Arabidopsis thaliana: one gene and its partner. The protein of the gene in region 1 interacts with the protein of each later gene in a pairwise test. Each region holds a gene or a part of one and is shown on either strand. Other genes may lie near its edges.

What was found. The genes of interacting proteins can lie anywhere in the genome.
Region 2: the proteins of AT3G06470 (region 1) and AT1G07550 interact in a protein complementation assay, tested with the Arabidopsis thaliana proteins (one large-scale study listed by BioGRID).

Annotation. Positions count from the first base shown.
Region 1 is NC_003074.8:1,979,373-1,987,388, reverse strand, and holds AT3G06470 (GNS1/SUR4 membrane protein family), read right to left. Parts: upstream 3,659-8,016; 5' UTR 3,184-3,658; coding exon 2,347-3,183; 3' UTR 2,059-2,346; downstream 1-2,058. Other genes in the region: AT3G06480 (DEAD box RNA helicase family protein), read left to right, coding at 1-210, 308-585, 672-1,692; AT3G06460 (GNS1/SUR4 membrane protein family), read right to left, coding at 3,812-4,708; AT3G06455 (ubiquitin family protein), read right to left, coding at 5,334-6,052, 6,186-6,504.
Region 2 is NC_003070.9:2,319,421-2,329,756, reverse strand, and holds AT1G07550 (Leucine-rich repeat protein kinase family protein), read left to right. Parts: upstream 1-3,186; 5' UTR 3,187-3,244; coding exon 3,245-3,326; intron 3,327-3,451; coding exon 3,452-3,989; intron 3,990-4,170; coding exon 4,171-4,649; intron 4,650-4,724; coding exon 4,725-4,869; intron 4,870-4,958; coding exon 4,959-5,030; intron 5,031-5,097; coding exon 5,098-5,169; intron 5,170-5,262; coding exon 5,263-5,340; intron 5,341-5,426; coding exon 5,427-5,572; intron 5,573-5,656; coding exon 5,657-5,853; intron 5,854-5,959; coding exon 5,960-6,086; intron 6,087-6,168; coding exon 6,169-6,234; intron 6,235-6,341; coding exon 6,342-6,528; intron 6,529-6,642; coding exon 6,643-7,048; 3' UTR 7,049-7,214; downstream 7,215-10,336. Other genes in the region: AT1G07560 (Leucine-rich repeat protein kinase family protein), read right to left, coding at 63-223, 337-414, 496-567, 705-776, 882-1,026, 1,104-1,585, 1,674-2,211, 2,353-2,437; TRFL2 (TRF-like 2), read left to right, coding at 8,709-8,789, 8,890-9,628, 9,719-9,883, 9,968-10,042, 10,128-10,207, 10,296-10,336.

The DNA of each region.
Region 1 (8,016 bases):
CTTGACGAGGCAGACCGAATGCTTGACATGGGTTTTGAACCCCAAATCCGTAAGATTGTGAATGAAATACCTCCTCGGAGACAGACTCTTATGTACACAGCCACTTGGCCAAAAGAAGTAAGAAAAATTGCAAGCGATCTTCTTGTGAACCCTGTCCAAGTTAACATAGGCAGGGTAGATGAGTTGGCTGCTAACAAAGCAATAACGCAGGTGATGATCATCTAAACCATTTTATATCACTGTAAAGCAATACTTACACATAACTTGGTGATGAGGTTACTGAAGCAAACCCATCCTTATAACGCAGTATGTTGAAGTAGTCCCACAAATGGAGAAAGAGAGACGTTTGGAGCAAATCCTTAGGTCACAAGAACGAGGTTCAAAAGTTATAATATTTTGCTCCACGAAGAGGCTTTGTGACCATCTTGCACGTAGTGTCGGACGTCATTTTGGCGCTGTTGTGATCCATGGAGACAAGACTCAAGGTGAGAGAGATTGGGTGCTTAACCAGTTCCGAAGCGGGAAGTCTTGTGTACTGATAGCTACTGACGTTGCTGCCCGGGGACTCGACATAAAAGACATACGGTTTGTTGTAATAATTCCTGGTATATATCTCTTTGCTTGTTTGTTATCAAGATTACTTACCTTTGTTCGTGTTTATACTACTTCAGAGTTGTGATCAACTACGATTTTCCAACTGGAGTTGAAGACTATGTCCACCGTATTGGGAGAACCGGTCGAGCTGGTGCAACTGGAGTTGCATTCACTTTCTTTACAGAGCAAGATTGGAAATACGCACCTGATTTGATCAAAGTCCTGGAAGGAGCGAACCAGCAAGTACCGCCTCAAGTAAGAGATATTGCAATGCGTGGTGGTGGTGGTGGTGGTCCCGGTTATAGCCAGGATCGAAGAGGTATGGTTAACCGGTTTGACTCTGGCGGTGGTGGTACCCGTTGGGATTCTGGTGGTGGGTTTGGTGGGCGTGGTGGTGGGTTTAGTGGCCGTGAGGGTGGGTTTGGAGGCCGTGAGGGTGGATTTGGGGGCCGTGAGGGTGGATTTGGAGGCCGTGGGGGAAGATTTGGAATGAGAGATGACTCATTTGGACGTGGCGGGAATCGTGGTCGGGGTTTTACTGGTCCTGATGCTGGTCATATGAATGTGGGTGGTAGAGGCGGATTTGGTCGGTTTGGCAATAATAATAATATGGAGAGCCGAGGCTTTGGTCGTGGTAGTGGTAGAGGCTTTGGTCGTGGTGTTGGACGGTTTGACAACAGAAGAGGTAGAAGTCGCAGCAGAAGTCCTGATTTGGTTCGGCCACGGCGCCGTAGCTCGAGCTATAGCCGGAGTCGAAGCCGGAGCGGGAGCTATAGTCGTAGCCGTAGCCGTAGCAGGAGCTGGTCACGTTCAAGGAGTCGCAGCCCTAGACATAGCCGTGACCGAGGTGGTCATAACAGGAGCAGAAGCTATAGCCGTAGTCCTAGTCCGGTTTATGAAAGACGAGATAGAGCGCCACGTGTTTCTGGGTTTGATATTAAACCACCAGTTGAATCTGTAGTGAACCTGGACATGAATGCCGCGGCAGCGATTGAAAACGTGGTTCCTACATCCTTGTCTGAGAGACAAGGGAATGGGGTTGTTGAATCGGAGGTAGAAGCGGCTTTAGTACGACCAGTGGTTGATGAAGAACCCTAAAACCAAATCATAGAATGATATAAATCCTCACTACGGAGATATCACAAGCTCACCCCAAATTTTTTGGGTATTGAATGGATTCACCAAATCAGACAGCTGACACGTCTTCTCAGATTTGTTGGCTGAGGTTTCTTTATTTTCATTTTTTTATTTTTTTCTCATGTTCTTGTTGTATCATGGAGAATTAGTTTGTAATGTATTTGAGAATTTTTATCGTTTATGTAAACGCCTTCTATTGCCTTCAGAAAAATCTAGACTAGCATCAAAGGAAGAACTTGGGAAAAACTGTAATTCTAGTCTTCTAGATAGACAGATACAGCATTTAGAGATGATAAATTTACAATGTTCTTGGAATGGTGAACGATGTTTAAATTCAATTCTTGCTTACATCATTGCATGAATTCTTTAGATTGAACGTACTTTTCAGTCAAAGAATTAGAGATGATGAGTCCATGTCATGACTTTTGTGATATTTTGATATTTTCTGTCATCTTATATTCATACAAGTACAAAAGTATCTCAACATTTGCAAGTACAACACAGACAAAAATTTCAAAATAAACAACAATTCAAGACAATTAATCCTTTTGTGTGGAAACTAATCAACAATTCAAGACACAATGAGAGGTTTTACTTATTGTCCAAGAAACCAATCTAATCGCTTTTTTTGCCATCCTCTCTCGTTGGCTTCTTGACATAATTCTTTGAATGGAAGTTGGAAAAGAGAGCCAAAAGAGAAGCATTAAATGCAGCGTTGAAACACCATCCCCAAATCCCGGTGCAACCCGACCCGAATAAGTGCTCTCGGAGCATCCAACCGGATAACCCGAAACTGAAAACAAACTGAACAATCTGACAATCCGTCACCAATCTCTTCCACTTGGGCCTCGATCCAACGGCGCAGAGGAAGTAGTAACCGTACATGATGACGTGTACCGTCGAATTCGTCACGAGCGCAATCGGAAACATCGATTGGCGAGTTCGGAGCCAGAGATAACACATGACCACAACCGTCGCGTGGTGGTACACGTGGAGGAAGGATAGCCGTTGGATTGATTTGCCGAGTATGATGAGGATCGTGTCTCCGAACTCGAGGATCTTCGAGAGGTAGAAGACTTGAGCCCAGAAGAAAAGCGGTCCGTTAGGTTTAACGTCGACGGGAAAGCAAATCGCGTGAAGGAAACGCGCCATCGGATCTGAAGACGCGTGAGATGAGGTTATTGAGAGAGTGCAACCGACGGCCATGACTAAGGAGAGGAGACAGAGGATTAGGCTGTGGACGGCTGTGATCGGTTTGAGGATACGTGGACTGAGTGATGGGAGTGAATCGATGGCGGATCGGAGGAGGAACGTGGCGGAGAGGTAAACGGAGACTACGACGGATACGAAAAAGACGGTGGAGCCTAGGGTTTCACCTTCGATCCAAGTAAAATTGGAGATGTAGGGGTGGTTAACGAGCCAGTAGGTTAAAGAGGAGTAAATTGATGCCATAGCCTCCGGTGAATCGCCGACGAAGTTTGGGGAGTTGACGTTTGAAGATATGGTTTAGCGAGAGATGAAGGATCAAAGGCTTACCCAATTGGCTAATTTTCATGAAAGTGGGTCCCAGAGGATCTTGTTTTTATCTTTTTTAAGTATAGTATCGTATAATATTATATTTAGATGATATGCTACTGTTGTTGTTATTTGTTGAATTGGGCCACGCCGCCGTAGCCCGTAGTTCTAGCCCGGTTTATGAGGACTACGAGATAGGCCCATTGTAGCAGCGGCGGCTCTTAAAAACCGTGGTCACTCTCTCCTCCATTATCATAAAGAGAGGGTTTGGTACGACCAGTGGTTGATGAACCAACACTGGTAGGCATAAAAAATATTATAGAACTAATCTCAGTGTCCAATCCTTTAAAGAAACGTTGGTTGGCAAATGTTGTATAGAAAGATGTATGCAATAAGAAGAATCAGACGATCATGATGATTTTATGTGACATTTTTATATATTTTGTCATCTTATTCGTTAATATATAAAACAATTTCAAACCATGCATCCCAACATTTTACAGTAACAACTAACAACACACATCAACATATCCAAACTAGATATATATATAATAATCATGACAATTTAATCGTTTTTCTTGGAAAATAATGTAATCGCTTTATTTGCCCACCTCTCTCCGTGAATAAATATAAAGGATTCGATCTTATACAAAGGCGACGTTGTAGTCTTCTCATAGTTCTTGGAGTGGAAGTTGTAGAAGAGAGCCAATAGAGAAGCAGTAAACACACCATTGAAATAAACTGTCCAAATCCCGGCGCAACCCGACCCGAAATAATGCTCTGGGAGCATCCAAGCGGCTCCTAACCCCATGCCGAAAGCAAACTGAACCATTTGAAAATTCGTCACCAACTTCTTCCACTTGGGCCTCGATCCGATAGCGCAGAGGAAATAGTACCCGTACATAATCACATGGACCGTCGAGTTCAACACGAGCCCAACAGGAAACATCGATTGACGTGTTCGTAACCAGAGGTAGCACAAAATCACAACCGTTGCGTGGTGGTAGACGTGGAGGAACGAGAGCCGTTGGATTGATTTGTTGAGTATGATGAGAAGTGTGTCTACGAACTCAAGGATCTTCGAGAGGTAAAAGACTTGAGCCCAAAAGAAAAGCGGTCCCTTAGGTTTCACGTCGAGGGGGAAACAAACGGCGTCGAAGAGACGCGCCTTCGGGTCCGAGGAAGAGATTAGGGAGAGAGTGCAACCAACGGCCATGGTTAAGGAGAGGAGGAAGAGAATGAGGCTGTGAACGGCTGTGATTGGTTTGAGAATGCGGGGACCGAGTGTGGGGAGTGAATCGACGGTGTATCGGAGGAGGAATGTGGCGGAGAGGTAAAGGGAGACGACGACAAAGACAAAGAAAACGGTGGAGCCTAGTGTTTCACCTTCGGTCCACGTGAAGTTGGCAATGTAGGGGTGGTGGACGAGCCAGTAGGTTAGGGTGGAGTAAACAGATGCCATTATTCTCTAGCGAAGTTAGTTTGGAGGAGTTGAAGTTTGATATGGCTTATATACACATACTAATGGAGTAAACGGATGGTGGCGTTGCGTCTTCTTATTTGTTTTGGAACATGAAGTACAACGGTGCCATTGCGTCATGAATACTCTAAGTCACGCAACTGCTCCGGTTTCCCGGCACTGATATGGGAGAGAGACGATGGGGTCATCAGAGGCTTACCAATTTGAATAACGTGGGAAGGTAATATCGTAATGAATGCATCATCAATATTTTTTTATCATGCATAAGCATAACGTGGGAAGGTAATATCGTAAAATCTAGTTATCAATGTGATGATGATTAATGCTAATGGTGTTTTAAAAGGAGAAAAACTTGTCTTTAATAAGAGGAAGTTTAGGCTTGGTGACTGAAAATTGTCGTTTTTTCAAATAAGGCTATAGGTTTTTAAAACATTTGGGCTTAGAACCCATTTCGGTAGGGACTTAACCAAAGATAACTGAAACATTTGAACTCCTAGGCCTTGTCATCTAACACACATTTCTTATTTACATAATGGCTTGTATGATTTGAACTACAAGCCAAAAAACTTCAAAAGGGTGTAATCTTTTTGAAGATGGATGTTGGTCTTCATTTCTTGGCCAGTAATTTCTTCGGGAGCTTATCGAGGGGCGTTGATTTAAGTAAAAATAGCCTCGCAGCTCGCTCTCGCAATGTCCCTCTGCATTTCAGACCGCGTGACTGAAGCTCAGTCTTCAATCTCTCCATCCCCAAAACCTCCATATCTGTGGCTGCTTTGAACTCAGCAAAGTTAAGCGGTTCAACAGGTTTGCAACACACTCTTTCTTTCGCAGTTCCTCCTCTCTTTACGACAAAATCATCGTTTCCACTTGATTTCTCCACCTTTTCAAGTTGATCCATTGCATCAGCAACAGCAAAATCATCCATCTTCTCTTCGTTAATTCTTTGAACAACCGTGATCTCTCCCTTAACTACATCTGAACTTTGGTGCACTACAAAGTCGTTCTCACCATCATGGGATCCATCCAAAACAGAGCCTGAGCTTTCATCAGTATCCTTATGATCTGAATCAACTTGACCACCAACAACAGATTTCTCATCTTCCTCGTCACTGCTATCATCACTGTCACTATCTTCAACAGCTCTCTTTCCATTCCATATTTTGATTCGTTTCGATTTTTCAGATTCTGCAGTACCCATCTTCTTCCCTTTTCTCTTATTCCCATTCTTGAAAGTTTCGTTCAAAGCCAAATGCACAGCCAAAATACACTTATCAGATCCCCCCTTATACTTGTTGACATTCTTCTGCGTAGCTCCATCTCCAACACCTTGTTTAGCATTATTGGATTGCTCCTTCAGATACTCAAGAGCCTTTTTCTCAAAATTCCTCCCTTATTCACCATCCTTCCACTCCTGAAGCCTGTTCTCGGCGTTTACATCTCCGTTCACTCATATCCCTACACGAATCGAAATTGTTTGTCTTCTTCTGTCCAGCTTTCATAACCACATTACGAAGTAACGATCCGAGTCCACCTTTGCCTCCACGGAGGGACAGGACAAGATTCATGGTGGTGTCAGACTGAGAAATCGCGGATGCGCCGGGGATTTGGAATCCTCCGCTTATCAATCTCTGTAGATGCGTCGGAATCTTCGTTTGCTCGAAGATCCGCTGCTTGATCTGCTCGCCACACGCTATCGGAGAGGAAAAGGTTAGGGTTACTGATTTTCCGTCGAGTAGTCTCACGAAAAACTGCAACGGCTTACAACTTTGATCCGCCATCGATTTTCGATTCTAAAGCTTGGACGAAGAAGAAGAACAAAGTTCGATTCGATTTCTGGAGAGAAATTGGGGGAAAGTTGAAAAACGGATCCCTAAGGTAGTCTGAGTCTCTCTCTCTCTCTGCTTGTTGGGCTAAGAATAAGATTTCTTTTTGGTAATGTGTTGGGCTAAGAATAAGATTGATATCTCTTCTGATGCGGTTTCTTCTTGTTGGGCTTCATAGTTGGGCTTTTCGTTTTGAAAAGTCTTAGGTTTTATGTTTTGCTTTGGCTAGTTTGTTGTCTATGACCTTTTTAGCTTGATGTATGTGTTTCGTATCTTAATAAAATACAAAAGAGTGTATTACAAAAGAAAAAAAAAAAGATGTTTGTAGAGTGAATTAAAATTATAGTATAAATTATGCGAGAAAAATGAATACTATAAAAAATGGTTAGCAAACTAGTATTTTCTAATCAGTGAGTGCTGGAAATCACCGCCCATTAGTACTGTAGATTAGGATGCCACTAGCTAGTAAATAGAAGATATTTATTAGGAAAATTCGTCCAAAGAATTTGTAAAAAACTAAAAACCCATTAAATCAAGTAAATCGTCATTGTCAGAAAATGTGACATGTTTTTGGAAAAAGATTCCAATTCATCAATCCGAGAAAAATGTATGACTCAAAAATCTAAAAATGTCTTAGTTTGGAAGAGATGAGAATGAGATAAATGAACCAACTTGACTCTTAACTTAATCTCATTTATAGAAAAATTGGTAAAAGAGTGATAAGAGACATTTAAACGCCGTGTTAGGCGGAAGAAGTGTACAAAACCAATCACGAGCATTGTCTGAAACCGGAGTCAAAGAGACACAGAGACAGACATCTCTCTCCTCTCATCAGATCTCAACACATCACACTCTCTTCCCTTTTTTAAAATCCAATTTTACTGTTGTTTTTTTCTCCTCCAGCAGTAGTTTTTAACTGATAAAAAATCTCCCACGGCTCTTGTATAGAGACTAGAGAGGTCAAGCCTAGAAAACGAAAGCTATTTTCTCTCAGTCTTCTAAAGTTGTGTTCCTTTAGTCATTTTGAGCTGATTTGTCTCTGGTAAGTGTTTTTCTTTCTTTCTCTCTCAGTCATTCTTGAATCCAAGCTCAGAGATCCCATGACTTTTTTACTTCTCGCCAGCTTTTGATTTTTCTATGAGCTTTCCGTACTAAATGTGTTGTAAAGTTCTCACCTTTTTGTTTGCCAAATCACCCATTATCAAATCTACATAACTCCTTTTAAAGACATCCTCCGCAATTAACGCTTTTGAAGACATTTCTTTGGGTTTCTTTTAAGGTTCCTGCAAATATTTGTATTCGGATCTGAGTTTCTTAGTAATTAAAAGGGTATTAAGATTTATTCGTTACTCTTTGTTTATTTTGGTTACACTATTGGAATTTTTTTCAATCTAAATCATTCTAGTTGTATCAGATTTCCTATCTTGGTTACTACATGCTTTATCTTAATCATGCATCATAATCCTG
Region 2 (10,336 bases), on another chromosome or scaffold:
TCACTTTATAATTATGTATGCATACAATAATATTTCTGGTTTGATGAATTTGATACAGATACCTTTTCTGCTTGATGAGCGTCTTTTAATACAAACAAAAAGCAGAGCGATCATTGCTATTATAGCAGCCAAAGAAGCAAGTGATGCAACAACTGGTAACATGATGCTATTTTTCTTTTTGTTGCATGAACTGGAAAAACATAGGTTTGGATTTCCCTGAATGCTAGTATTGTAAACAAGCTAATCAAGTGTTAGTGAAGACATACTGCAAATTAAGATATCATATTTCAATGACCATCAACTATTGAAGACTAAATATAGTTGAGAAGATCTTACTTCAACTTCAACCCATTTTTCACTTTGTTGAGAAGAGCTTGAGGGACTGATCCACTAAGGTTGTTTCCGCTTAAGTTTCTGCCTAGGTAAAAAATAAACATCAACAGACTCGGATAATAAATTGGCAATGTGATTCATATGAGTGACCAAGTAACTTACATGACTAACAATGATTTCATTTTGGCTAGAAATTCAGGTACTCCACCTGTTAGATTATTATTTGAAAAGTCCCTATCATATGCAAAAATGAATTAATTGATTATATGTTTGGCCTTGATAAACAGAGTATTCAAGTAAAACAGAGTATTCAGGTAAAACAGAGTATGTGTTTGACCTTGATAAAAAATTGGCAATGTGTTCATACTTACAATTTTTTAAGCTCCGTAAGATTTTGGATCTCAGGAACTATAATTCCAGTTAGTTCACTTGAGGACAAGTCTCTGGTGGTAATTAAAGATCATAACACACATTTAAAGTGTAAGATGTTACGAAATGCAGAGCTTAACAAAAAACTGTTTTAATGTTACGAATAGCCATGGACGTACAAGGAATGGATTCTTGGTGGTGTAGACATATTGGTGTACTCGCAGGTAAGACCATCCCACAATAATTGTTGAGGAACACATGGATCTCCTTGCCAACTAATTCTACTTAATCCATAGCTTGTTTCTATGCTCTTGATAGCAAGGACTAACACACAATAACAGAATGAAAACACTTAAGTATATACAAAAAAGTATATATATACTCAGATTTTGCTGACATACCGTCATTTGCATTAGTTTCAGACTGCGGAAACTCCACTGTTATAAAAGCCTCAATAGCATTGAGGAGGGGAGGGAGAGTTGATTTTGGAGTTTTTATTAGTTGCAAATGGCATGTCCCTCCTTCACATTTAACTGGTGATGTATTGAATAGAGTACCCACTAGAAACTCGTCAGGACTAACAGGTCCATAGTTAACATCTTGGCCTGCGCTAATGTTGAATTCCCTGGTATCATTTTCCCTTAAGGATTGGATCTCAGCGACGTGGAGGTATGCATAAACTAAGTCGTCAGGTGTTTCCAAATTCCAAGAAATGGTTAATGGTGAACTCACATTTGCAGGTGTGGCTGCCGTAACCACTACGTCTTCCGGTATGTCATAGCCGTTATCATCAGAAGTGTTGACCGTGAGACTTGTTCTTAACAGTCTCCATTCCGGCATGAAAAATGGACTCCAAAGACGATCATGGACATCTTCTGGATACCTGAAGAGAAAGGATGGAAAGTATTACCGAACAGTGTATCCAGTGGAAACCAATCTATTCATTACCAATTGGTTTTGAGTTGGCTTACCGAACAGTTTCTTTGGAATCAGTCAAATGGACGCGGAACAATGTCTTGAGGGAACCAGATTGAGGAATATAAGTATTATTTCTCAATGGTCGTAGTTCTAAAGCTGATATTAGCGGCGTAGTTGTTCCCGTCTTAACAAGACAAATCTGCAAAGAAGTTGACCTTGGTATGTGAATGATTTCCGCCCTTGTTCCGTTTACATTTCTTTGCAAATCGACCGTGGTCCATATATTTGGACCAAGATAAAGGTCGAACTTTGGGTGTGTGTTAAGATTATCGTAGTTTCCATAAGTAAACATGGCTACGATCAGATAGTTTGTGCCTTGTATGACGATAAGAGTATAACAGTTTCGTACTCCATCTGGAAAATATCTCAAAACCGTGTATGGCTTTATATACTCCATCCCCGGAACATTTTGAATCTTGCCGCTTTTTCCACTTTTGATGAAATCGGCGTCTGATGTGAATGTTAACTTTGTTAATGGTTCGGTATAAGGAGACTCATCGGCTTGCAACCCGCAATCCAAACTGATGAATCCTGATAAAGGCAAAAGAAAAAAAACAGAGAAATAATTTGGTAAAAAAATAAGTTTGGAAACTGAATTAATGACTAAATTGTGATAGGAAACATGTTTAGTCAAAGTTAAAAGAAGAAAACCTGAAACAAAAAAAGTTATACCTTGTTGATCTTGTGCTCGAAGAAAATCGGAAATGCCTAAAGACAAAACTAGGAAGGCCAATAGAAGTCCACGGAGGTTTTTCATTTTCCCACCTCTGTCCAAAAAAAAAAAAGGATTACGAATTGCCAATGTACTTGCAATATAAAACATGCCAAATCAAACCTTTGGATATAAAAAACGGATGAATTGTTAAATAATTATTTATTAACTTATATTTCTGCTTGGGGCGGATCATAACGGGAAATATGTCAACGTTCACATACCAATAACAATAAGCCACCTATTGAGTTGGACCGATCTTCTAACCAAATTCGAAATAATTTGTCTAATAATTTGATTATGGTAAGACTTTTCTCAAGTGGAATTATAAAATCTGACAAGTGTGTGTCATGTTTAAATTTTATAAAAAAGGTTTGCAAGTGGAAATTAGTAGAACTGATTGATTCTAATTGGTTATCATCAAGCACACCTATAGTAGATTAACCTGAGAAAATGAGTTATTACCGTGTGTGTGAAGGGATGTCATATTCATATATGGCAAAGTCACCGATCGTGTCAGAATCAAACCACGAATATAAGCAAAAGTGAACAAATGAATCGAGATTTTTAAAATATAGAGAGTATATAACCTGGTTGCATATTTTTCATTTCAAAAATTTTATAATCAACCACTAACGTCTTGATTTATTTTATATGGATATTATACCAGTGGTTAGCTGTTATTATTCGTTAGATAAAACCATGGCAAAAGTTTAAGTTTTTAAAACAAAATTTATACGTAGACGTCACCATGATTAATTCCATTTGCAGCTTATAACACTAAAAATTTGTCCATTTCAAAACTTTGGTAGTAGTAAGTTTTGTTAGTTGTGAACGAAGAAATCATCAAAAATGGACACTTGCACCAGGCTTCTGTTTGCTGCGTGTGCCACTTTATCCATCTTACATCTTGTTCAATCTCAGAATCAACAAGGTCTTTTTATCATCTGTTTTTCTTTTTTACAATAATTTTGGAAATAAACCATTCTAAATTTTTTTTTGAGATAGAACTTTATATAAGAAAAACAATATGTACCTCTCCCTTTTCGGTCTTACCAGGATTCATCAGTTTGGATTGTGGATTAGCTTCTAACGAGTCTCCTTACAACGAAGCAAATAGCAATCTGACGTACATATCCGATGCTGATTTCATTCAAGGAGGAAAAACTGGTAATGTCCAAAAAGACTTGCTTATGAAACTCAGGAAGCCATATACGGTTTTGAGATACTTTCCGGATGGAATCCGAAATTGTTACAGTCTAAATGTCAAGCAAGACACAAATTATCTAATCAGGGTTATGTTTCGATATGGAAACTATGACGGGCTTAACAATTCTCCAAGATTCGACCTCTATCTTGGTCCTAATATTTGGACAACCATAGATATGGGGAAGTCAGGTGATGGAGTTCTGGAGGAGATCATTCACATCACAAGGTCTAACATCTTGGACATATGTCTCGTCAAGACAGGGACGAGTACACCAATGATATCATCCATAGAGTTGAGACCCTTGCTATATGATACTTATATTGCTCAAACCGGTTCCTTGAGGAATTATAACCGGTTCTATTTCACCGATTCAAACAACTATATACGGTACCTTATTTTCACCTTATGCTTTATAAATAACCAAAGTAGATTATGAGCAGAAACTTTAATCTCCACAAAAACTTTAATATTATTGTCATTTAAGCCATCTAGCGTAAACCAAGATTATACAGTATTAATTATTGTTATTAGTTGATGTAAAGTAAAATATATAACTTGATTTTGGCAGTTATCCCCAAGATGTGCATGATAGAATTTGGGTGCCGTTGATATTACCAGAATGGACGCATATAAACACAAGTCACCACGTTATTGATTCTATAGATGGCTATGACCCACCACAAGATGTACTTAGGACCGGCGCCATGCCCGCTAATGCCAGTGATCCAATGACCATTACCTGGAATTTGAAGACGGCTACTGACCAGGTTTACGGTTATATTTACATCGCCGAGATCATGGAAGTCCAGGCCAATGAAACTAGAGAATTCGAAGTTGTGGTAAATAATAAAGTTCATTTCGATCCTTTCCGTCCTACCAGATTTGAAGCACAAGTTATGTTCAACAATGTACCACTGACATGCGAGGGAGGATTTTGTCGTCTGCAACTTATAAAAACTCCGAAATCGACTCTTCCACCCTTGATGAATGCTTTCGAAATTTTCACGGGCATTGAGTTTCCTCAATCAGAAACAAATCAAAATGATGGTATGTTGCCTTTGAACAAATATGCATATAGCTTTTTACACGTATTATTTCTTGCTAATTTGCACCATGTTTCAGTCATTGCTGTAAAGAATATTCAAGCTAGTTATGGACTGAACAGAATCAGCTGGCAGGGCGATCCATGTGTCCCTAAACAGTTTTTGTGGACTGGCTTAAGCTGCAACGTAATTGATGTGTCCACACCACCAAGAATCGTGAAATTGTGAGAGCATTTATTCTAACTCAATGTTGTTAGCAAATCTTAAGCCCTGAAATGTATCTGATGTGATATGTCTTGGATCTTCCAAACAGAGATTTGTCTTCAAGTGGATTAAATGGAGTTATACCACCTAGCATACAAAATCTAACTCAACTTCAAGAACTGTACGTATCTCTATAACAAAATGAAGATGTATTCAAAACACTTGTTAACAATTTTTTGTTGCAACAGGGACCTGTCCCAAAACAACTTGACTGGTAAAGTGCCTGAATTTCTAGCCAAGATGAAATATTTGTTGGTCATGTAAGTGTTGTTGAAAGCAAAATAAGCCATTTTTATCATAATGTTTTACATTTACTAACTAGATGATCTACTGATTTGTCTATATATTCACAGAAACTTAAGTGGAAACAAACTTAGCGGTTTGGTTCCTCAAGCCCTTCTTGATAGAAAAAAGGAAGGATTAAAGCTATTGTAAGATTTCTTTTTGAGATGATCTTTATTGATTTACTACGTGCCCACTCTCGTTTCTGAAATTCACTACGTTCTTTATTCTTTAGGGTTGACGAAAATATGATTTGTGTGTCTTGCGGTACAAGATTCCCAACAGCTGCGGTTGCGGCATCTGTTTCTGCAGTGGCCATTATCATACTTGTGTTAGTTCTCATATTTGTTTTAAGAAGGAGAAAGCCATCTGCTGGGAAAGGTACTTAAAGGAGAATAACATATAGAAGAATATAATCCCATATTGTATAGCTCTCATGGAATTCTGTTAAATTTTTCTATGCAGTTACACGCTCATCCTTCAAATCGGAAAATAGAAGATTTACTTACTCTGACGTTAACAAAATGACAAATAACTTTCAAGTTGTTATTGGTAAAGGAGGGTTCGGTGTTGTCTATCAAGGTTGTTTAAATAATGAACAAGCAGCTATTAAAGTGCTTTCTCATTCATCAGCTCAGGGCTATAAAGAATTCAAAACAGAGGTATTCTTATTAAATCTTTTACTAAAGTTTTGGAAAAAGAGGTTAATGTTTGAGATCAGGAATCAATTGGTTACACTTTTTTCTTTATGTCGTCCTTGATTGTTAGGTCGAACTACTTTTAAGAGTTCACCATGAAAAGTTAGTAAGCCTCATTGGATATTGTGATGATGATAATGGCTTAGCTCTCATCTACGAGTTAATGGGAAAGGGAAACTTAAAAGAGCATCTCTCAGGTAAAACACATGAAAATTTGATACAACAATTTATAGGTTCTCTTTCAAACAAACTTCTTAAGCCACTTGGTTGTTATTGCAGGAAAACCTGGTTGTTCTGTTTTGAGCTGGCCGATAAGACTTAAAATAGCTCTTGAATCCGCCATAGGTGTGTAGAAATATTATTATATATAGTTTAAGCTGATATATATAAATTCTCTCTTAAACTCCATATTTATGATAATTAGTTAACATACGAGGTTTAACATATGGTAGGAATTGAGTATTTGCATACTGGATGCAAGCCAAAAATCGTTCATAGAGATGTCAAAAGTACTAATATATTGTTGAGTGAAGAATTTGAGGCCAAAATTGCTGATTTCGGACTCTCAAGATCCTTCCTAATAGGAAATGAAGCTCAACCTACGGTTGTTGCTGGAACATTTGGATATCTTGATCCGGAGTAAGTAGTGGAGGATTTATATCACATTGTACATTTAAACATGCATGTCTTCGATCGATTTTCTTGCTTTCTGAAAAAAAAAGTGAACCATATCTTTAAAATCTTTTGTTATAGGTACCACAAAACCAGCTTGTTAAGCATGAAGAGTGATGTATATAGCTTTGGGGTTGTCTTACTGGAAATCATCAGCGGCCAAGATGTGATTGATTTATCCCGTGAAAATTGTAACATAGTGGAATGGACCAGTTTTATACTCGAAAATGGTGATATTGAAAGTATAGTGGATCCAAACCTCCATCAAGATTATGACACAAGTTCTGCATGGAAAGTTGTTGAATTGGCAATGTCATGTGTGAACCGTACTTCCAAAGAGAGACCAAACATGTCTCAGGTCGTTCATGTGCTAAACGAATGTTTGGAAACATGTGAAAAGTGGAGAAAAAGCCAAGAGGTGGACTTAAGCAGTCCTCTGGAACTGAGCATAGTTGTAGACACCGAAATAAACCCAAAGGCACGTTAGTCATTATTCTCATGGTTGGGTGTATAATGATCAGTCTGTATAATTTGTATTATGAAGCGTCTATTGCACAATTTGGGTGTTAAGTCTGTATGTTGAACGTGTTGATACTTAATAGCTTCTTCTTGTGCTATCGAAAGTTGAAAGTACTCTTTTAATTATACAAGAAGAATATCCACTCATACAGATATTTGTGATTTTATTCGGTTTAAAGAATCTGTTTATGCGGTTCGGTTTTTTCGGTGGGCTTGGAAATTCACTGGGTTTTTATTTTGTGGGCCGAAAGTGTAGGCTGTGGTGTAGAAATGTTATTTTTTGGGCTGTAGGAACTTTGTAAGCCCAAGAAGAAATCCTAATTTCATCTTCTTGAAACACGTGTTCTTTGTCCTTCGCGATTTCGATGCTACCGACAGAGAAGAAGAAGAAGAAGACGAGCTTCACTTCGGTATTTACTCTCAGATCCATCGTTCCGTTCAAAGTTTCCAGCATTTAGAAGGACTATTCAATTCGGATTCTCGGCAGGTTGGGAAAGAACTGAAGAACCGTTCGGTTCAGTGATGCCAAAGTATATTTGAAGCATTGCCGATCGGTTGATAGCTGCAAACCGAATTGATCGATCGGTTAGGTTAATTAGGTTTAGGTTAAAGTATTTTGCATCAGAAAATAGATAGGGTTCTCAATGAAAACAAATTTGTTATTATAAAATAAAATAGAAGAAGAAAAACTGAAAAAGACAAAATAAAATAAACAGGAGAATGACATGGCTTGGACTGAAAGGAAAAAAAAAACATTACATGGCATGTGTGACTCAACGTTATTGTCGAAGTTTGTGTGTTGTAAAAAAAGCCGGACGATCCGACAGAGACAACACGTGGCCGAATCAGGGGGAAGTACGTGAGACAGTGGTGGTGACCCAAGAAGGGAGAAGAAGAACAGGTCTTCAGGGTGGGGTTTACTGGTTATAGCCGGTTATTCGCTCTTCTTCTTTTTTCAGACACGTCCTCTGTGTTACTACTCTCGTATAAGACCAGGGGTTTAAGCCCTTGTCTCCTTCCGTGCTTTTTTCCCACATTAAGGGGTTTTTCGATTTCCCACAACAAAAAATAAATAATAAGACAGAAACTTTTTTGCTTTGTGTGGGTTGATGAGAAAATAAGATCATAAACATTCTGATCTCACCTTGTTTCAGAAGAAAAGGTGAGATTATTTTTGAAGTTTTTTTGGATCTGCAATTTGAATTGCGGTTTTTTATGTTTATAGTTTTCTAGCTTGAGGGTTTTTTGATGTTGTAATTTGGTTTCTCACAGAAGCTGAACCGTGTTTGTTTTTCATGAAAATATTACAAGACCAGAATTGTTCATTATTTTTCTTGGTAAATTCATGCTCTGTTTTCACTCTACGGTCATTAATCAAATGAGGCTTTAGATCGTGGAAATTTCAATAACTTGGATTCTAGCTAGGGTTTTACAAAAAATGATGTCTGAAATTGGAAATAATCTGCTATCACATATACAGTATGTGAGATTTTCTTGCAACGTAAGAAATTTTATAGATAAATGCTAATACATTGTTGGACTCAGTAACCTAATTGTTTTTCTCCAGGGATCTTGTAATCCGTGAGAATGCCTTCGTTTTGTTGAATGATTGAAATGTTCTTCAAATCATGGTGTTGCAAAAGAGGCCCGATTATGGATTCAATGGCTATGAGGTGCCTCACACACCTCGAGCTGCCAGATCACCAAGAGTAAATACAATTCTTAACTTTTTTGTGTGTTTCTTATCAGTTTTATATATGTTCTAATGTTCCCTTCTGATATATATGTTTGTGTTTTGTGTTTTGCTAGAAGAGTGCTTTCAAGAAGAAAAGCGAAAACCATCAAATATCGTCTTTCGATTTGTTGGCTGCAGTAGCTGGAAAACTGCTGCTTGAAGGTGGGAATTCTTCTTCCTCAAGTAACAATACCTCTGGTAATAATGAAGATCAGTGTGCAGTTAAGAAAGAGCCGCTTAACGGCGGCGATATAATGGTGGAAGAAGAGACTACAAATTCTGATCATGATAATAATAATGCTGAACGGAGTTTCTTTGTCTCTGAGATTCTTCAAAAATCTCATGAAATGCAAAGCTTTAATAGATCTCCAAGTCCCCTTAAAGAGTTCCATTTTGGATCTTCTTCTGGTATAACTTCTGATTCCTCTGAGAAGTTTGAAACTCAAGAATTGGCGTATGATGAATCCAAGATCAATAATGGTGATTGCTATAGGTCAGAGTCTAATGATAAGAAATCAATGCTTGGAGGGTTAAATTTTGAAGCAAAGTTATCAAGGAATGTTGTAGGTAAGGATGAGAAACATATAGGTAGTGGATTCAGGAAACCTATTCCCCAAAATCCTTCAACATGCTCCGATGATGTAGATTTACACGGTAAGGAAAATGATGATGGCGAAAACTTCTCAGCCTGTTACAGAACAAAATCATTTAGGTCAACTCTGCGTATTGGAGATAGAAGAATAAGGAAAGTTTGGGCTTCCAAGTATTGTAAAGTCCCTCCAAAGCTGAAAGATACAACAGTAACTAATTCAGGTGAACATTATGGACCATTTGTGAGCAAGTCATATGTACTTTTCAAGATGTTATGGTTTATTTATGTGTCTTTGTCTGAAAATGTTTTAGACTTGGACTTGAAGTCTGATTACTATAGCAAGAAACATTGTCTTAAAAGCTTAAGATCAGAGAGGAACTATCCAATAAAGAAAAGGAGATACTTTGATGGTTATACAGCATCACAATCCGAGGAAACAAATAAAAATGAAGGCCAGTCTGGTTCACCTCGAAAGGGTATATTATCGGAAGCTAGTCATTTAACGTCAAAAATCACTTTACGATGATATAGTGATTAACTTTGAACTTTGTTTTTGGCAGCTTCAGCTTTTCTATCATCCATAGCTTGTCAGAAGCAGCCTGCAGCATTCCAATCACCAAGAGATTCTAATAACGGTATCTATTTCTATTGAGGTTTTTTGTTATTTTTACCAATCAGATTTTTGTATTAATTCTGTTCATTTTTTCTTGTTGTGCTTAGTGAAACTTGGAATCAAGTCATTTAGAGTCCCTGAACTTTTCATTGAAATTCCAGAGACAGCTACTGTCGGTTCGCTAAAGGTTAGGATTTTTCGGCTTATAATTTTCTGGAAGGATCTCCTTCATGTTTATGGATAATGATTGATGAAACTTTACTTCTTCTCGCTAGAGGACAGTGTTGGAAGCTGTGACCTCGATACTTGGAGGTGG